Linked DNA regions of Ovis aries. The protein of the gene in region 3 purifies or fractionates together with the protein of the main gene of each other region. This does not show direct contact. Links are inferred from orthologs where the notes say so. Each region holds a gene or a part of one and is shown on either strand. Other genes may lie near its edges. The genes, in order: HNRNPM, KPNA6, LMNA and histone H2AX.

Evidence for each region.
Region 1: the proteins of LMNA (region 3) and HNRNPM fractionate together in Homo sapiens (co-fractionation; 3 studies listed by BioGRID, with this or other methods). This does not show direct contact. The link is inferred for Ovis aries from reciprocal best matches to the Homo sapiens genes LMNA and HNRNPM.
Region 2: the proteins of LMNA (region 3) and KPNA6 purify together in Homo sapiens (affinity purification with mass spectrometry; 4 studies listed by BioGRID and IntAct, with this or other methods). This does not show direct contact. The link is inferred for Ovis aries from reciprocal best matches to the Homo sapiens genes LMNA and KPNA6.
Region 4: the proteins of LMNA (region 3) and histone H2AX purify together in Homo sapiens (affinity purification with mass spectrometry; 3 studies listed by BioGRID and IntAct, with this or other methods). This does not show direct contact. The link is inferred for Ovis aries from reciprocal best matches to the Homo sapiens genes LMNA and H2AX.

The regions. Positions count from the first base shown.
Region 1 is NC_056058.1:14,825,488-14,830,116, reverse strand, and holds part of HNRNPM (heterogeneous nuclear ribonucleoprotein M), read right to left. Parts: intron 4,593-4,629; coding exon 4,532-4,592; intron 2,360-4,531; coding exon 2,258-2,359; intron 815-2,257; coding exon 770-814; intron 310-769; coding exon 232-309; intron 1-231. UniProt on the Homo sapiens protein: Pre-mRNA binding protein in vivo, binds avidly to poly(G) and poly(U) RNA homopolymers in vitro. Involved in splicing.
Region 2 is NC_056055.1:235,356,754-235,361,382, forward strand, and holds part of KPNA6 (importin subunit alpha-7), read right to left. Parts: intron 4,575-4,629; coding exon 4,496-4,574; intron 2,835-4,495; coding exon 2,709-2,834; intron 2,394-2,708; coding exon 2,266-2,393; intron 767-2,265; coding exon 588-766; intron 1-587. UniProt on the Homo sapiens protein: Functions in nuclear protein import as an adapter protein for nuclear receptor KPNB1. Binds specifically and directly to substrates containing either a simple or bipartite NLS motif.
Region 3 is NC_056054.1:106,153,581-106,157,565, reverse strand, and holds the end of LMNA (lamin), read right to left. Parts: intron 3,973-3,985; coding exon 3,865-3,972; intron 3,759-3,864; coding exon 3,639-3,758; intron 3,248-3,638; coding exon 3,158-3,247; intron 2,376-3,157; coding exon 2,103-2,375; intron 1,817-2,102; coding exon 1,790-1,816; 3' UTR 893-1,789; downstream 1-892.
Region 4 is NC_056068.1:29,402,393-29,406,534, forward strand, and holds histone H2AX, read right to left. Parts: upstream 2,246-4,142; 5' UTR 2,173-2,245; coding exon 1,741-2,172; 3' UTR 937-1,740; downstream 1-936. Other genes in the region: HMBS (porphobilinogen deaminase), read left to right, coding at 34-324; DPAGT1 (UDP-N-acetylglucosamine--dolichyl-phosphate N-acetylglucosaminephosphotransferase), read right to left, coding at 3,460-3,525, 3,609-3,764, 3,931-4,018. UniProt on the Homo sapiens protein: Variant histone H2A which replaces conventional H2A in a subset of nucleosomes. Nucleosomes wrap and compact DNA into chromatin, limiting DNA accessibility to the cellular machineries which require DNA as a template.

The DNA.
Region 1 (4,629 bases), on a different chromosome or scaffold from region 3:
TTACTGGGAAGATCTGAAACAGAAAACCTCAAGAGTTTAGTAACTGAGAAAATGAACACTTGCCTACCACTAAATCTAGCTTCTGGAACACAAATTATTTAAGGCAACTCAAAGTTATCAGATTCAGCACAAAAGTGGGAGGGTGAAGTCACTTATCAAAAATCAGTCTGCTGCCTAAAGGTCACCTAGAGCCAACAGCCAGCAGAGGGTAGATAGGTACACAGATCTTACCATTTATTCTGCCCATGTTCATCCCAGATCCAAATCGACCCATGTTTTCCATACCACCACCAAAGGGTCCTTCCATGCCTGAAAGAGACATATTTGCATTTTAGCAGCAGCCTAACAAGACTCAAAAGTGAACAGGAATAGAAAATGTTTCCACAAGGTTACCTAGGGCATGTGCTGCCAGAAACTTACCAAGTCTCAAGGGCTTTTGGAGAAAAAAGGCTAGAGCCCTTACTTAAAAATCACTATCTTCAAAAGGCTGATCTGATCCAATCCAGTCAATGAACAGACAAGCAAAGAGAGACCCAGAGAGATGGAGTGACTTGCCCAAGGTCACAGAGCTAGTCAGTGAAAAAGCCAGAACCAAAAGCCAAGTGGCCCAATAGAAAGATCAATGGGTAAAAGTAATCTCTAGACTTAAACTGTTTGGAAACCCAAGTGAAAATTTCATGCAGGGCTTAAGAGAAAAGGAAAAGGGAAGAAAAGAGGGGAAACCATACCTAAAAGTAGTTAAATTCATATTTCATTTGAGTTGTCTTACCTCCCATTTTATTTATTCCAAATCCTATGCCTTCCATTCCCATTCCTTAAAAAGAAAAAGTCAATGCAAACTAAAATTATGTCAAAGCCGTAATGTTTGAACTTAAAAAGCACAAGAAATTCCAAACATCAAAAAATATCCCTGACTCCAAATATATTTTACTTGTCAAGGGGGGGGGGGGGGGAAATGGGGTAGGGGCTCTTCTATTTCAACTGACAAACTAGTACATTCCAAGGAAGCAACTTATGCCTTTAACTACATAATCATCATGTGACTCAAAATCTGATAGTGTTCACAGAGTTTCAATAAATGACCAAGTTAGACATGAAATGTTAAGTATTAGGAAGAGACTAGGGCACGTTCACTTTTTAGAAGCTTACTTCAGGGAACAGAAGTAGATTCAAAAATCTCCTTTAAAGGTAAAATTCTCTAAAAAAAGAGCAGTTCCTAAAAACACTGAGGCTTCCCTCTCCTCAACCCTAGACTTTCCTCTGAGGTGTCAGGTCAGGGGATGTGGTGTTCAGATCAGTAAAGGCACCTTAAACTCTTTCATCAGCCCCAGAGCCTAATCTGGGAGGGAGACAAAGGAAAAGCAGAACTGACCGTAGTAGGGTTAAGGGTATCCATCTTGCAATTCAAAGAACTGCAAGCAAAACCTAAGTCTGAGGCCATAAAAACGCAGTATATTTAAATTATATATGAATGCCTCACTGCACGAAAACACCAAAAAGTGAAGTTCAAAGTTCATTCTACATGTCAAAGCTTTATTCGTTAGCTATTGCTTTTCTTCTTAAACAGGCCTAGGAGAGCTATGTAGTCATGCGACGAGGCCCTCCGTATCTTTCTGCATCTGACAATGCCCCTGCCTCAAGAAGCCCTGTAAACACCAGGTGACAGCCCACAGGCCTCTGGGTGATAGACGGTGGCAGTGAGGTGGTCCCAAGATCAGGAATTTCTGTCACTAACTGATAGTGTGACCTTGAGCAAGACCATCTCTCTGGCTTGCCTCCTCTTATCCAAAGGCTTAACTGAGTATCTCAGCTCAGAAGTACTTGTGAGGATAAAATGCAAAGCACAAAAGCTTTAGAAAGAAGTAGTCACTTGGTAAAAATCCAAAATACTGCCTTAATCAAAACATTAGTTAGTCGCTCAGTCGTGTCTGACTTCTTGTGACCCTCCAGGCTCCTCTGTCCATGAAATTCTTTAGGCAAGAATACTGGAGTGGGTTGCCACTTTCTTCTCCAGGAATCTTCCCGACCCAGGGATCGAACCCATGTCTCCTGCACTGCAGGCGGATTCTTTACCATCAGAGTCACCAGGGAAGCCCAATTAAAATGAATCACAAATAAATAAGGAAGGAATTAATTTTGTCCCAATATGAGCCTCATTCCACTTGAACTACTCAATGTCCAATCATCCCAAAAATTATTATTAAGATAACTAACTTCCCCAGAAATCCCCAGTCAAGAGGCACACTGTACTTCTCACCTGCAGGTCCCAGGTTGCCCATTCCAATGCCTTTATTCAAATGGTTGGCATCAATAGGCTGCCCTCCTGGTCCTAACCCCATGCCAATACCACCAAGTCCATCTGAAAGGAAATGAGAAAGTCAGAGTATTGATTCTACTTCCATAGGAAGCCCTGACCCTAAAAGTTAAAAAGACCCTTTGTTTACTGTGTAGTAGCTGTCACACTTGCCCCACCACCCATCTGCTCCACCAAGTCCAGGGCCTAATCCATGATGCAACATTGACGCATTTGGGAGCTCTCCCTTTAAAGGCATAAGCTCTCCTAGAACAACAGGGACTGAATGTGTGATCTATATAAAACGAGCGCAACTAAAAATCAGTTCACATGAAAACTACAGAGAAGATCTGTGAACAACAACCCACACAGTGACAAGTTGTGAGCCCCTACTTGTTTCCCTGAATAGTGTAATGAGAAATGTTTAATCAGAAAAGGCAACTGGAGACCTCACAAAGCAAGCAGCACAAATACGCTCAACCCTCATCTCTCAACCTGGTGACCCAAAGGACTTTTCTCCGGAAAAACAATGTGATAAATCAGCCAATTAACACACTGGACTTGGGCTATTCTCTGACTCTGCTGCAGATGGTTTGAGTAATGAAGCTAGTGTATCCAAGGAACCCGAAAGCTTCCTAAGCCAAGAATCGTACCCTACCCACAGAATACAGGCTGATCTCAAAACAGCCAACAAGGCCTGAGAGTATACTTGCAATGCTCTGGGTGATCATGGTTGGAGGCTAAGACCAGGTGAGATTTTTAAAAATAGGAACAAAGTCCACTTAAAAAAAAAACACTGACAAAACAAAACAAAAAACAACAGTTCTCCAATTTTTAATCTGATAAAAACCATGTTCTGAAACTGCACGTAAACAGCAGCAAGAGCTCACCAAGGTTACTTACTCCCCAAAGCACTGAAGTCAACCCTGAGATTTTCTGGGGAAACCAAAAGCCACAGATAATGGGCTCCCTGGAGCCCAGGGTGCCAGTCTGGCTGCCAAGCAGCCCTCACCCCCTGATCTAGGCACAAAATCAACAAGAGCCAGCACCCTGTTCCTGGTAATTACCATAAGAGACCACACAGATTATGACAAGGAAATGGGGTCCATCTCTAAATGCTAACTTTCAACAGATAACCCATCTTATATTCGTGAAACATGGACTTCCCCTCAAAAATCTGTCTCTACTATGCTTCTGCAAACAAGAATTAGTAAGCTAGTCTAGGTTCCCATTCAATTCAACCTCTGATGGCTAAGCGTTAGGCATAAGCCACTGCTCTAGACAGGAGGCGGCCCTGGCCGGCCCTTCAGACACCTCGACCCCACAGCCTCACGTGAGGAAAAGTCCTCTCTCAAGAGACACCAACTAGTCTTGCCCTCTCCCTACCCTCAGTCTGCCTTCCACAGGTCAGCCCTGCATGCCCTGCTGACACACGGCCCCTCATGCTACCACAGTCCCTCCCCTCCACTGCTCCCGTGCTCAGGCTCCCTGCCCTTCTGTGGGCCTGCCCGGGAAGACTTCACTATTACCCGCTCTTCCTACCTATGCCTTCCCTGCCCCAGGATGGACTTTCACCTGGATGTCACAAATGACCCTATATAAAAATTCTGACTGTTATACTTCACACACCATAAACTTCACCCTTTCTCCAGGCCCTGGCAATCACAATCCACCTGTCTTATGAACTCGCCTGTTCTAGACATTTCCAATAGACAGAATCAAAGTTCATCCATACTGTAGCACGTTACCAGTACTTCTTTTTTACGGCTAACAGTCCACTGTCTAGATTTACCATGTTTTATTCACCCATTCATCAGCTGAAACCATGCAGCCATGAACATCTGTGTACAGGTTTCTGTGTGGGTATCAGGTTTCAGCTCTCTTGTAGTGTATACCTAAGAGTGGGACTGCTGGGCCATATGGTAATAACCAATCTCTTCTGAACCCAAGTGCAAGCTGGCTTTCATTTTTTTGCAGTTTGTTTTTTCCCAGCTACACCTTCTGTGTCCTGGGCAGCCTGCCTCACCGCAATGTAATCCTAACAACCCTTCCTACGTTGTCTCTCTGCTCATTTTTCACCCCAAAAAAATTTATAAGGAAAATAATCTTTTTGAATCTTTTGCTCAAGAACAGTCTAGATAACTGAAGACTGACATCCCAACTTCAAAGGTAATTGTAATTTTCTGGTTATAAAACATTAAATTCAAAATTGTAGCCATAAATAATTGAGACACTTACGGGGAAGTTGCTGTGGACGCTCAGGAGGGAAAAAATCTCCCTTTGGTAAGGCCCTCTCATCCTGAAAGAGAAAGTGAATAAATCTCAGTATTCCCTGC
Region 2 (4,629 bases), on a different chromosome or scaffold from region 3:
TGCATGCGAGTTGCTCAGTCGCATCCCACTCTTTGACACATTCTGTCCACAGAATTTTCCAGGTAAGAATACTGGAGTGGGTTGCCATTTCCTCCTCCAGGGACTTTCTATGACCCAGGGATCAAACCGCATCTCTTGCACTGCCAGAAAGATTCTTTACCACTGTGCCACCTGGGAAGCTTTAGATACAAACTACTATTAACAAAATAGATGAACAACAAGGACCTCCTGTACAGCACAGAGAACTTATCTAGTATCTTGTAATAAGCTTGTTTATAATGGAAAAACAAAAGAAAGGAACTTGCTAGAAACTCAGCTGAAAACATGCCTTCCAGCTCCTTATCCTATTATCAATTCTGGAGCTTTATTTTTGCATCTGTACCATAACCTACTTACTGGGTACAGCCCATCAGAAAGAGAACTGATCTATTGCTCCTCAGAAGAAATGGAACTTGTGGGATAAAACTTTGCATTCAATGCTGACCATACACCCTCACATACATATACTACTTCAGAGGTTCTGAACTAGAACTTATGGTTCTGAACTCTGCTTATGGCAGACATTAGTTTGGGGAGAGGGCACATACCATAGGCTTCCTCGATGAGGCCACAGTAGGGATTGACCCCTGAGCCACTGCGCTTGCCCTCTTGCTCTCCAAGCCGAAGGATGTTCTCCAGTCCATTGAGGGCCACTTGCACAATCTTTGAATCCATCACAGTCAGCAAGTCGCACAGGGGTTTGATGCAGCCCAGGGAGACCAGGTACCTGAAGGGCAGAGACCAGGAAAGTTCTAAATCAAGACAAGATAAGGGAGGTGCCAGGGCGGTGCTCTGGGGTCCCTGGGTCTCCTTTACACACATCAATGCTCTTAGCAATTCACCCTGCCTGAGCCCTCATAAACACCCAGGCTTTATCTCAGTCTCCACTCCATCGATACTACTGGTTTAGTTCATTTCCATGTAGAAGGCTGCCACGGATTTCTCCTCCTGGTCTGTAATGTGTCCCTGCAACAGTACTACCTACTCTGAAACATCATTCCCCTGCTTAAAATTTTCACAGTCCAAGCTCTACTCTCAATACAATCAGGCTCCTAAGCTTTTTCAGCTTCATCTCACATTATTCCCTTCCAAGAATATTACATTCCAGCCAAACGTGAATGTCTCTAGGTTTCTGATTTTTGTACTTTTACTTATGCCTTTTCCTGTCCAAATGCCATTCACAACCCTATATCCTCAAAAGCTTAACTCAGTGGCTATCCTTTTCTCCTAAGGTTTTATAATATGCTGAATATACTCCCTGGAAGAAAAGTTATGACCAACCTAGACAGCATATTGAAAAGCAGAGACATTACTTTGCTGACTAAGGTCCGTCTAGTCAAGGCTATGGTTTTCCAGTGGTCATGTATGGATGTGGGAGTTGGAGTGTGAAGAAAGCTGAGTGCTGAAGAATTGATGCTTTTGAACTGTGGTGTTGGAGAAGACTCTTGAGAGTCCCTTGGACTGCAAGGAGATCCAACCAGTCCATTCTAAAAGAGATCAGCCCTGGGTGTTCTTTTGGAAGGAATGATGCTGAAGCTGAAACTCCAGTACTTTGGCCACCTCATGCAAAGAGTTGACTCACTGGAAAAGACTCTGATGCTGGGAGGGATTGGGAGCAGGAGGAAAAGGGGACGACCGAGGATGGCATCACCGACTTGATGGATGTAAGTTTGAGTGAACTCCGGGAGTTGGTGATGGACAGGGAGGCCTGGCGTGCTGCAATTCATGAGGTCGCAAAGAGTCGGACACGACTGAGCGACTGAACTGAATATACTCCCCCTTCCTAAGCTACAAGCTGAAGGCAAGGTACTTTTCTAATTCCCACCACTCCAACTCAAGTTCATAATGGAAAGCAGAATCAGAGAACATCTTCACACAAAACAGCTTTCCTATTTACTTCTCTCAAGTATCATTGTCAAAAATGATTTCTCAAGGAAACTGCTCCGAATGAGCCATCGAATGGTTCTCTTTCATTTGTATGAGTAATTGTGAATTATATAGATTTAAATTCTCTTGTGGGTAGAAAGAGGCAGAGGAGAGATGAATGTCTGTCTTAAGTGTCCATTCTCAAGGAGGGAAAAGAGGCTACACTCTAGCAGCTTATCAGTTAAACCCTACTGAACAGCAGTAGACTTATCCCAGCAAAGGCAGTTTAGAGACTGTATGTAACATAAGCTGACAGGTAGAGTAAACATGTCACTCAAACAATGGGAAGGACTGTGGTACCTGATTTGTTCAGGGGTTCCTCCTGATGTGGCATTGGTGATGGCCCAGGCTGCTTCTTTCCTTGTACGGAACTCTGCTTTCTGAAGGATTTCGATCAATACAGGGAAGATGTTTGCATCTATGACAGCCTGAGAATAATTAGGGGTTCGGGGGTGGGATATGGGGGAAAAAAGTCATTTCAAGGAGAATAAGCAAATCCAGAACACAAATCAGCTAAGATTTAGACACATTCCCCTTCCTCAAAGTTCTCCTTTGTCGTTCCCATATACCTAAGGTGGTGCAGAAGAACCTGGCTTCTGCTCCACAGAGTCTTTGACCAATAGCAGACACTGATCCCAATTTCAAAAGAGAAATTTTTTTGTCTAGAAGGCAATATCCCACAAAGTCTCGTGATCCCAGGCCTTTCTACCACCGTTCCTCAATCTCCCAACTGCTTGTTTTACCTGTATCTGAGCCCTGTTGCCAGCAGTGATATTTGAAATGGTCCAACAAGCTTCCTTTCGGATTGACTCCTTGGAGCTGCTCAGGAGGTGGAGGAGGCAAGGGAGGGCTGAACAGTTAAGAATGACCTAGAACACCAAAAGACAAATTGAGATAAATTGGACTTAATCAAAATTTAAAACTTTTGTGTACCGAAAGACATCTTTCAACAGAGTGAATTACACAAGTCACAGAATGGGAGAAAGTATATTGAAATTATATATCTGATAAAGATGAATATCCAGATTACATTAAAAAAAAAAAAGCTGAACATAGTTTAAAATGGGCAAAGGACATAAACAGACATTTTTCCAAAGAAAACAGGCAGGGGGCCCCAAAGCACATGAAAGATGTCAGACATCATTAATCAGTAGGGAAATGCAAATCAAAACCTCAGTGAGATACAGCTTCACACTTCATAGGACAGTTATTCTGTTTTCCTGGCCGTGCTGGGTCTTCACTGCAGCATGCAGGCTTAGTTGCCCCACAGCATGTGGGATCTTAGTTCCCCAAATAGGGACTGAACCCGAGTCGCCTGCATTAGAAGGCGGGTTCTTAACCCCCAGATCCCAGGGGATTATATATATATATAATATATAAAATTTATTATAATACTTATAACATTTAAAATTTATTATAAAAATAAAATTATTTTTATTCTTAAAAAATCCAGGCAATACAATTGTTGGTAAAGATGTGGAGAAACTGGAACCTGGTACATTGCTGGTGGGAAGGTAAAATGGTATAGCCATTGTGCTAAACAGTATGGTGGTTCCCCAAAATCTTTAAATATAAAATTACTCCATGACCCAGTAATTCCACCTCTGGGTGTATATCCCAAAGAGCTGAAAACAAGGACTCAAACAGAGATTTGTATGCCAATATTCAATGCAACATTACTCACACTAGCCAAAAGGTGAAAGCAACCCAAATGTTGATCAACAGATGCATGAATAAACCAAATGTGGCACAGGTGTGCCAAGGAAGATCATTGAGCCACCGAAAGGAATGAAGGTATGACTTACTAAAACATGGGATGAGCTTCGAAAACATGCTAAGTGAACTAAGTTGAAACAAAAGAACAAATATATATGGTTTGGTTTACGTGAGGTTTCTAGAGGAGTCAAACTCGCAAGAAACAGAAAGTAATGTGGTAGTTACCAGGGGATGAGGGGAGGGGGAAACGGGAATTTATTATTTGAAGAGCACAGAGTTTCAGTTCTGAACGACGCAAAAGTTGTGGAGATGGATGATTGTGATGGTTAAATAACAATGTGAATGCGCTTAATGCCATTGAACTATACTTAAAAGAATAACCAGCTCTCCAGCCTGTGTATAGAAAAACCTTGCATACTGCACCCTCTATGGAGGTATTACTAACAGAGGACTAACATGAGGTTACCCATGGGATCCTAAAGGTTTAGTTACAAAGTAGGGGTGAGGCTCCAAAGATTTAAGTATTTCAAAGGTACCATAACAGAAAAGCTGGGACTTTACCATGTCCCAGGTAGTAAGTCAAGTTATTCCATTTAGTTTTTCTTCAGTAGCACCCAATGGATAATGATTTGCTTCCAATTTATAGAAAAAATAAAGGCAACCAAGTTGCCCACAAATCATACAGAAAGTGGCAGAGTTGGAATTTTTCCTTCAAGCCTGTGCTTTCTCTCCTAGATCACACTGCCCCCCACCAGGACTAAAGTCTACGGCAGGGAGGGATTTGTCCACAGACAGCTCTCTTCCTCCTCCTTACCTGGGTCTGGATGTCATCCCCAGTGACGATGTTACCCACAGCTCTCAGAGCAGGAGAAGCCACTTTGTTATCGTTGTGCCTATAGAGGAGGGCGATCTGGTCAGTAGAGGGCCAGCACCAAGCTTTCAGCTCTG
Region 3 (3,985 bases):
TTTCCCAGAAGGGAGCATAATGTCACAGAAGCAGGGGTCTGCAGCCAGGACCCTGGGTTCTCTCTGCCATCTAGTAACTGTGTGGTCTTGTTAACTCTGAGCCCCCATTTCCAGGGACAAAGGGGACAATAACCACCTGTCAAGACAGCAGAGGGTCAAATGAAATAGCACAGAGATGCTTTGGAACCTATAAAGGGCCAGAGAAGGGTTGGTCCCTGTAGCTCATTTTCCCTGCTTGAGGTCCTTTCCCTCAGTCTGGTTTCCCCATTCCCCTACATTAGAGGCCTCCCCCTGAGGCTCCGACTCCACCTGACCTATACCTTTGTCCCCAGCAGTCCACTGGAGTGTAAGATCCCTGAGAACACTGAGTACACGGTCTTGTCCATCTCCCTGTCTCCGAGGTGAGCACAGTCTTGCGCAGACGGACATTAACTGCGTGCTTGCAAAGTCAGTCCTGCCCCTTTCCTGCTAACTCCCTCCTCCCCATCTGCCCTTGCCCCGGGTCCTGAGACAGTCACCCGTCCTCAGACTGGGTCTGTATCATCATGTGTCTTGGTATTCATGCTGAGCTCAGGGTCTAGCACAAAGAAGCTTCTCGCTAAGTGCTGGCTGAAGGAAGTCAGGAAGGAAATGCTTGCCCTCAGGCTCTGCCTCTCTGCGGGACTCATGGAGACAGCCCTGCACTGGGTGGGCAATGCTCATGTCAGAGCGTCTCCCCAGCAGCCACTGCTGGGTGCCCAGCTGTGCACCTGAAGCTCTGCGGTCTTTGTCTCCCTAGAGCAAGGGGGAGGCTGGGCGGCGTGACGATGCAGGTGACCGAGTGACATGTGTATGGGACCCTCAGAAAACACACAAGGACACCCACCAACAAAGACACCACGGCAGCCAGGGATAGAAACAACTAGTGTATTGATTCAGGGAGAAGTGGTGCAGATGGGAAACGGGAGGCAAGGGGCTCCTTAGTGTTTGCCGAAACCCACTGCCGCAAGCCCTCCACACCTCCTCCCCTTCCTCCCCTTCGGTGGGGCCCCAGCAGGCTCTCCCCTTTCCTAGTAGGCCTCCCTCTCCCTCCTCCCCTACACCCACGTGACCTTGATCGACCTCCAGTGACTGGGCAGAGCCCACCCCTGGCTCTAAAGCTAGGTGAAGGCAGGCTCAGACTAACCTTATTCTACCTTTCTACCTCCCGCCTCATTCCCATCTCTTGTCTAAATAACATACAGAAGAAGCAAACGCAGCTGGGACCTGGGAGAATCGAGTCACCCCGGGGCTGGGGAGAGGGGGGGCGGGGGCGGGCAGGCGGAGGAGCCTCTGCGGGGGGTAGTGGAACGATGGGGGCTGGCCCAGGGGCGAGGCTCAGCCCTCCTCCCTTGGAGGCTGGCAGAGCAGACTCCACACCTGCCTCTCAGGCACCATGTCACGGGGTCCCCGGGATGGGGGTGGCGGGCAGGGCAGAAAAGCAGAAACGAGGCTTTGTAAAAGCATCCCCTCTCCTCGGCTCCCTCTTTGGTTTTAAGGCAGATACGGAGTTTCTCGGAAGCAGGGAGAAAAGGGGGGGAATTGAGAGAGATGCGCGCGGGGTTTTTTGGCTTATGTTTTTCCTTCGGTATAAAACCACTGTAGAAAATAACTTCTCTTAGAAAAACAAAAAACAAAACATAGAAGAAAAAATAAAGGGGTATTTTTCTTTGGCTTCGAACCCCTTCCCGTGAGGCGCAGGGCAGGGGTGGGCATGAGGTGAGGAAGAAGCATGGGCCTCCGCCCCCACCCCTGCCTGGCAGGTCCCAGGTTACATGATGCTGCAGTTCTGGGGGCTCTAAAAGAGAGGAGAGAGGGAAGCGGCGTGAGTGGCAGTGCTTGGCCAACCCTCCCTTCCCCTCTTAACCCAGCCCCGCCCCTGCCCTCCAATCTGGGGCTCAGACAGGAGGGGCAGGACGCAGGAGCAGCAGCCGCTCTCTAGGATCTTGGGCTGCGGGGAGGAGGCTCCCACTCCCCCGGGCTGCGGAAGAGAAGGCTCTCCCTCCCACAGGGCAGCCTGGCCCTAACCCTGGAGGACTAGGGTCCTCTGCCCGCCGGGGGTTGGAGACAGAGGGCCGACTCACCTGGGTTCGGGGTCTGGAGTTGCCCAGGAGGTAGGAGCGGGTGACCAGGCTGTCCCCGAAGCTGCCACCCCCACTGCCCCCCACACTTCGGTAGCTGCGAGTGACTGTAACACTGGAGGCGGAGGAGCCAGAGGAGATGGATCCGCCCACCTGGGCTCCCGAGCCGCTGGCAGGCGCCTTGTCTGCGGGCTGCCCGCAAGTCCCGCACAGCACGGTGCGCGAGCGCAGGTTGTACTCGGCGGGGTCCCCCGAGCTGCTGCCTGCGTGGGAGCCCTGAGGAGGGAGACAAGGCTCAGGCCGGACGGCGAGTCTGGGACTGACCGCTCAGGCCCAACACCCAGGCTCCGCGCTCCGGCAGGGTCCAGGCAGAAAGGTGGGCTTCTGCGCCTAAGTAACCTAACTGGTGGGTGGTATAGGGCTTGGGGTGGGGAGCCTGGGCTGGGAAGAGGGGAAGGGAAGGACATGACAGGAGGAAGGGTCAGGAAGACTTGGGGACAGGCAGGGGACGGGAGCCAGGCTTTGACTCTTGTCTTAGCTACTCTAAGCTTCAGAGGGAAAGGAGAGAGAGTCAGCAAGCTTGTAGAGCGGCAGGCATGCAAAATTAATTGGGAGGAGGGTAGGTGCAAGAGACCCTTCTCCCAGGAAAAATGGGGAAAACGAGAGGCCATGCACGTGACCAGGATGAGGAGGAGACAAGAAAGGAGATGCAAGCGAGAGAAGTGTGGGCGGAGAGAGGCAGGGCTGCGTGCCCCGCGTCTGTCCTCCCTTCCCCGCCCGGGGGATAAATCCGGACTCTTGTCCACCGCTCCCATGGGAAGACTCCGTGGCATCAGAAGTTCCCGCTCCCTTCCTTACCAGAGTAGGGCACCCAGACACCTGGGTTCCCTGTTCAAGGTATAGGGAGGAGAGAGAAGAAAAGCCAGGGCAGCGAGTGAAGTTCCAAAATGTTCTTTAATGAAAAGATTTTTTGGCAGGGGGAGGCCAGGGAGAGGGTGTCCCCAGGCCGGGCTGGGTGCCCTGGCGTGGGCTGGGCCTCAGCGGCGGCTGCCACTCACGTGGTGGTGATGGAGCAGATCGTCTCCATCCTCATCGTCGTCGTCCTCGACCACGGTCACTGAGCGCACCAGCTTGCGCATGGCCACCTCCTGCCGCGGACACAGGACAAGGCTGAGGGTTAGGGGCTGCAGGTCGGAGAAAGGGTGTGCAGCATACCCACCCCAGTGACCTCCAGGAGCCTGCTCGCGCTCTGCCCCCCGTCCAGGCTGCCACTTGCTCTGTCCTCCGGGGCGCTGGAGGTAAGACACTTGTTTCTACTCCAGGGACGTGCTGTCCAGGTCTCTGGATAGGAGCATGATCTGCCCTTAACCATGCTCACTGTCTAACCCCCACCCCTCCTGCTGCAAGGGGAGCTATCTCTGGGTGGAGAGTTTGGGCCCTGGGAGAAAGCGGCCCTGAATTGGCCTGGGGGCAGCTGCCTCCGACTCTGGCTGCGGGGGAAGCCTTGTCCAGTGAGAGGCCAGCCTGCAGCACACTCACTTCCCCAGTGGAGTTGATGAGAGCTGTGCGCAGGCTGTTTCCGCAGCCCCAGGTGTTCTGCGCCTTCCACACCAGGTCGGTAGGGGGGCTGTGGGTGGCCCCAGCTCCTGCAGCCCAGATCTGGGGGATGGAGAATTCATTAGAGAAGGGCACTCACGCTCCAGCACACCCAGCCTCAGGCCAGCCCATCCCCACCCGAGGTCATCCGAAACACCCAGCCACTCACCGTCACCACCTGCCCGGCCTTCAGAGTGAACTTTGGTGGGAAGCGGTAGGTCAGCAGGGGGTCATCTCCATTCTGGCGCTTGATTTGCCAGTTGCCCATGGACTGGTCCTGCCCGAGAGGG
Region 4 (4,142 bases), on a different chromosome or scaffold from region 3:
ACAGTTTACTGAGGCAGCCATTTTCTTTCCCAGCTGTACCTGACTGGAGGAGTCTGGAGTCTGAATGGCGCAGAGACCATGCAAGACACCATGCAAACCACCATCCATGTCCCTGTCCAGGTGCCAAGGCTGCAGGGGGGAGGAAACACATCTTTGTTACCTCCCCTCTCCTTCTCACTAAATCCAACCCTTCTTCCTTTGCCCAGCATGAAGATGGCCCTGAAGATGATCCACAGCTGGTGGGCATCACTGCCCGGAACATTCCACGACAACCCCAGCTGGCTGCTGAGAACCTGGGCATCAGCCTGGCCACGTTGTTGCTGAACAAAGGAGCCAAGAATATCTTGGATGTTGCACGGCAGCTCAATGAAGCCCACTAATTGGTCTGTGGGGCACAGGTGCCTGCCTTGCTGGTGTCCAGTGCCTACATCCCAGCCCTCTGCTACCTGAGGAGTGGCTACCCCCACAGGATTGAACTGCAGGGGCAGAGACTTCCAGAGACTTGTCTCACCGAGGGGCCTTGCCTCCCCAGGAGGCAAGGAGGGGGCTTCCTCTCTAGAGAAAAAAAAAATCTTAATAAGAAGCCACAGCCTTTGAATGTAACCAGTTCTACTAATAAACCAAATTTAAAGGTGGTTTTTGTTTTTGGTGGAGCTGCAGAAAAGGAAGGACAAACTCAAAACTCTTTATTTATGCCTGATCTCTGAGGCTAGGACCCTTTCAAAGTTCTCCTGAAAAACGCCTTCTGTCAGTAGTTCCCATTTTTTGACAGAATCGAGTGTCTCCCAGGGAACGCCAAGAAAGCCATCATCTTAATAATCTACAATTTGTCGCTCCAGTTAACAGTAAAGCCTTATATCGGTTCCCCTCCCCCACTACCTTTAGGTATCTACAGAGTCGACTCTACAACCCTTTTGCAAAATGAACACAACTCACTTTTCTTTAGGAAAAAACCCTTTAATAAAATTAGTCCATCTGAAACTCCCCCCAATACCTAAAGTACTAGTTTTGGATGGGTTAGCTGCAAAATTCCAGTTCCGAAGCCAAAGGCGGCTCAGTCCAGACGGGGATTAACGGACTTGTGCTGGTATCTAGGTGCTTGGCAGGCGGAATGGACCCGACGGGAAGGGAGTGGGGAGGAGGGGCGGGCCCGGAGGCAGGGCTCCCGCAGACCCCACGCCGCCAGGACCCGCTAGTATTGGAGACGGTCACGCCGCGAAGGGTTTCTTCCAGTACGCGCACAGGCCTGCGAATGAAGATGGAGGGAACGCGGACGTGCGAGGCCCGAGATCCGGCAACAAAAGGGGTCCTGGGACGAAATGAAGCAACCGATTGACTCCGCCGGCGGCGACAATCGAGTCCTGTACTAAGCACCGAGCTGAAGCAGAGCGCACGGCCTCGGCGGCGACCGTCCGCACCGACTCACCTTCCTCCCGCACTCCCCGGCCCGGCTTTCCGGAAGGTGCCGCGGCCTCCCCGCAGCCCATCGGCATTCTGGGGCCAAGCCGGCCGAGTCACGAGCTCGCTCCCGGGGCCGAGCGGCGTTCGAACGCACGCCCTCCGCCGGGCTTCGGCGGGAGCCAGCCGCGGGGGGGAGGGGCGGGCCGGGAAGGGGCGACAGCGCGGCCGCCAGGCCGGGAGCCCGAAGTGGCCCAGCTCTTTCTGTGAGTGCTGTGGTGGCCCTTAAAAGGGCCTTTGTGGTGTAGAGGGGAGGGCTGGGCGGTGGCGGCACGGGCGCCCTCAGTACTCCTGAGAGGCCTGGGTGGCCTTCTTGCCGCCCGCTGGCGCCTTCGGCCCCACGGTGGCGCTGGTCTTCTTAGGCAGCAGCACGGCCTGGATGTTGGGCAGGACGCCTCCCTGGGCGATCGTCACGCCGCCCAGCAGCTTGTTGAGCTCCTCGTCGTTGCGGATGGCCAGCTGCAGGTGGCGGGGGATTATCCGCGTCTTCTTGTTGTCGCGAGCCGCGTTGCCCGCCAGCTCCAGGATCTCGGCGGTGAGGTACTCGAGTACCGCCGCCAGGTAGACCGGCGCGCCGGCGCCCACCCTCTCGGCGTAGTGGCCCTTCCGCAGCAGCCGGTGCACGCGGCCCACGGGAAACTGGAGGCCTGCTCGCGAAGAGCGCGACTTGGCCTTGGCGCGGGCCTTGCCGCCGGTCTTGCCGCGGCCAGACATGCTGTATGAGGTAGAGGAGCGGTGAGGACGGCTAACAAAACACAGGAACAACCACCCGCCGCAGTCTAACGCTTCCGCGCGCGACCACGGGCTGCCCTTATAAGCCCCTCAGGGCACACCCCCGCGCCTTTCTGATTGGCTCTTTTCTCGAATACCCGCCTCTGGTTGGCTGAGGTTAACTCTTCGGTGACGCGCCCCAGTTGAGGGAACGCGTCCGCCGATTGGCCGAATTTGAAAACCCTTTGCCCGGGGAACACGGGAGGAGGCGCAGAGACTACCCGACAGCCAGCCAGTCTCGGCTGTAGCCAATCCAAGTGAAGCGCGCCAGATTTAAACGCTATAGCCCGAGACCAGAACCGGAAGACAAGAAGGGTAGAATCGGAAGCCACCTCAAGAGCGTCTGGGAAGTCTGCGCAAGGCAGGCCTAAGATTTTTAAAGGAAAAGAGTCAACACCACAACTACCTCTGCCTCCCGTCCTAGGTCTGGTCACTCCCTCCTCCTACCTGGCAAAAGAAGAGTGAAAAAGGGAAGGAATGAGACCCCCACTTAAAGTCCAACCCTACCCCAGAGAACAGATAACCCCAATCTTATGGCCCTTTATGCCACCCAAGCAGCAGATTTCACATTTATTCAACATGTTCTGTCTGGTCTGTTCTTTCTGATCACTTCTTGCTAGGAGGCGCCTGATGTGCTTAAAAAAAAAGAAAGAAAGAAAAAAGGATGGGACAGAGATAGGCATCCTCTCCGAGGAAATACCTCCTTCAACCTTCCCCATCCACCCTACAATGCCCACATAGGAAATATACCTATAGGAACAAGAAGAAAAAGACAATACTTTATTGTCACCACTGGGAGCACCTGGCCCCCGGTCTGCTCTTAATCATCAGAATACTTAATTTATAGTCAAATGTCAAGTCACCTTTGAACCTGTGTCTCTATCCCCAGCCAGGGTTCTGTCCCCAAGTCCAGCATTCTCCTTGAGTGTCAGAGTTGTGGGCAATTGCATAAAAGCTACAGTACCCCAACTTAGGAGGCAGCAAAGATGGGATGGAGAGGGAGAGTGGCAAGCTGAAGAAAGCCATAGGCAAAGTCCAATCACCAGTCATTAGAGAGTGAGACAGGCCCACGTGTCAATAATCACAGGGGAAAGGAAATGCTGAGAACAAAATCTGGAGGAAAATGAAGGGTGGGAGAGGCCTGGGCTAGTTGGCAGTCTTGGTCCAGGAGATGTTGGCCTGAGTCAGTAACCCCGGAGGCTGTGAAGCAAAGGGCAATGGATCGGGGCCTCAGACATCATAGAAGAGTCGGACAAGCTGGTACCGAATGGAGAAGGTGACAGCACTACCAACGACCTGCAAGGAGAAACGAACTATAGTAAGAACCCTGGAGAGAGGGAGACAAGGAAGTGTAAACCACACCCCCAATAGCATTGCACCTGTAGCAGCAGCAGGAAGAGGGTGAGGTTTCTCTCATGCATGGGCCCAAAGACTTTAAGTAGCAAGTTGATGAGGGTCATGTTGTTACATTCAGTGAAGGCACCATCCTCATTCTCACTGTGGCGCACCGTCAGTAGCCCAAGGTTCTCTGCTACCTGGAGAGGCCAAAGGTGGAGAGAACTTTTGCTAATACTTATGCTTCAGGAATGGGATCTGCTGAATGCTTGCAAACTCCCCTCAGGTCTGATGTAGGCCTAGGTTTTCCCATTCCCTGAATTCAGAATGGCAGCCTAGAGCCTTACCTCCTTGTTACCCTGTTACCTTTAGAATAAAGGTGCCCAAGAAAGAGAGGCTCTTGGTCTTGAACTTGGAATAGCTCATCTCCAGTTTGCCTGTCTTGGTATTGAGTCTGCAGGGGAAGAGAGCTTCATGTGACTGGGCCACTACACAAAGAACTCTCCTCACTGTGGTTAACTCATAGAAAGAGCACTGAATATAGAGTCAAACACCCTGCGATCTATTTCTGGTTCTGC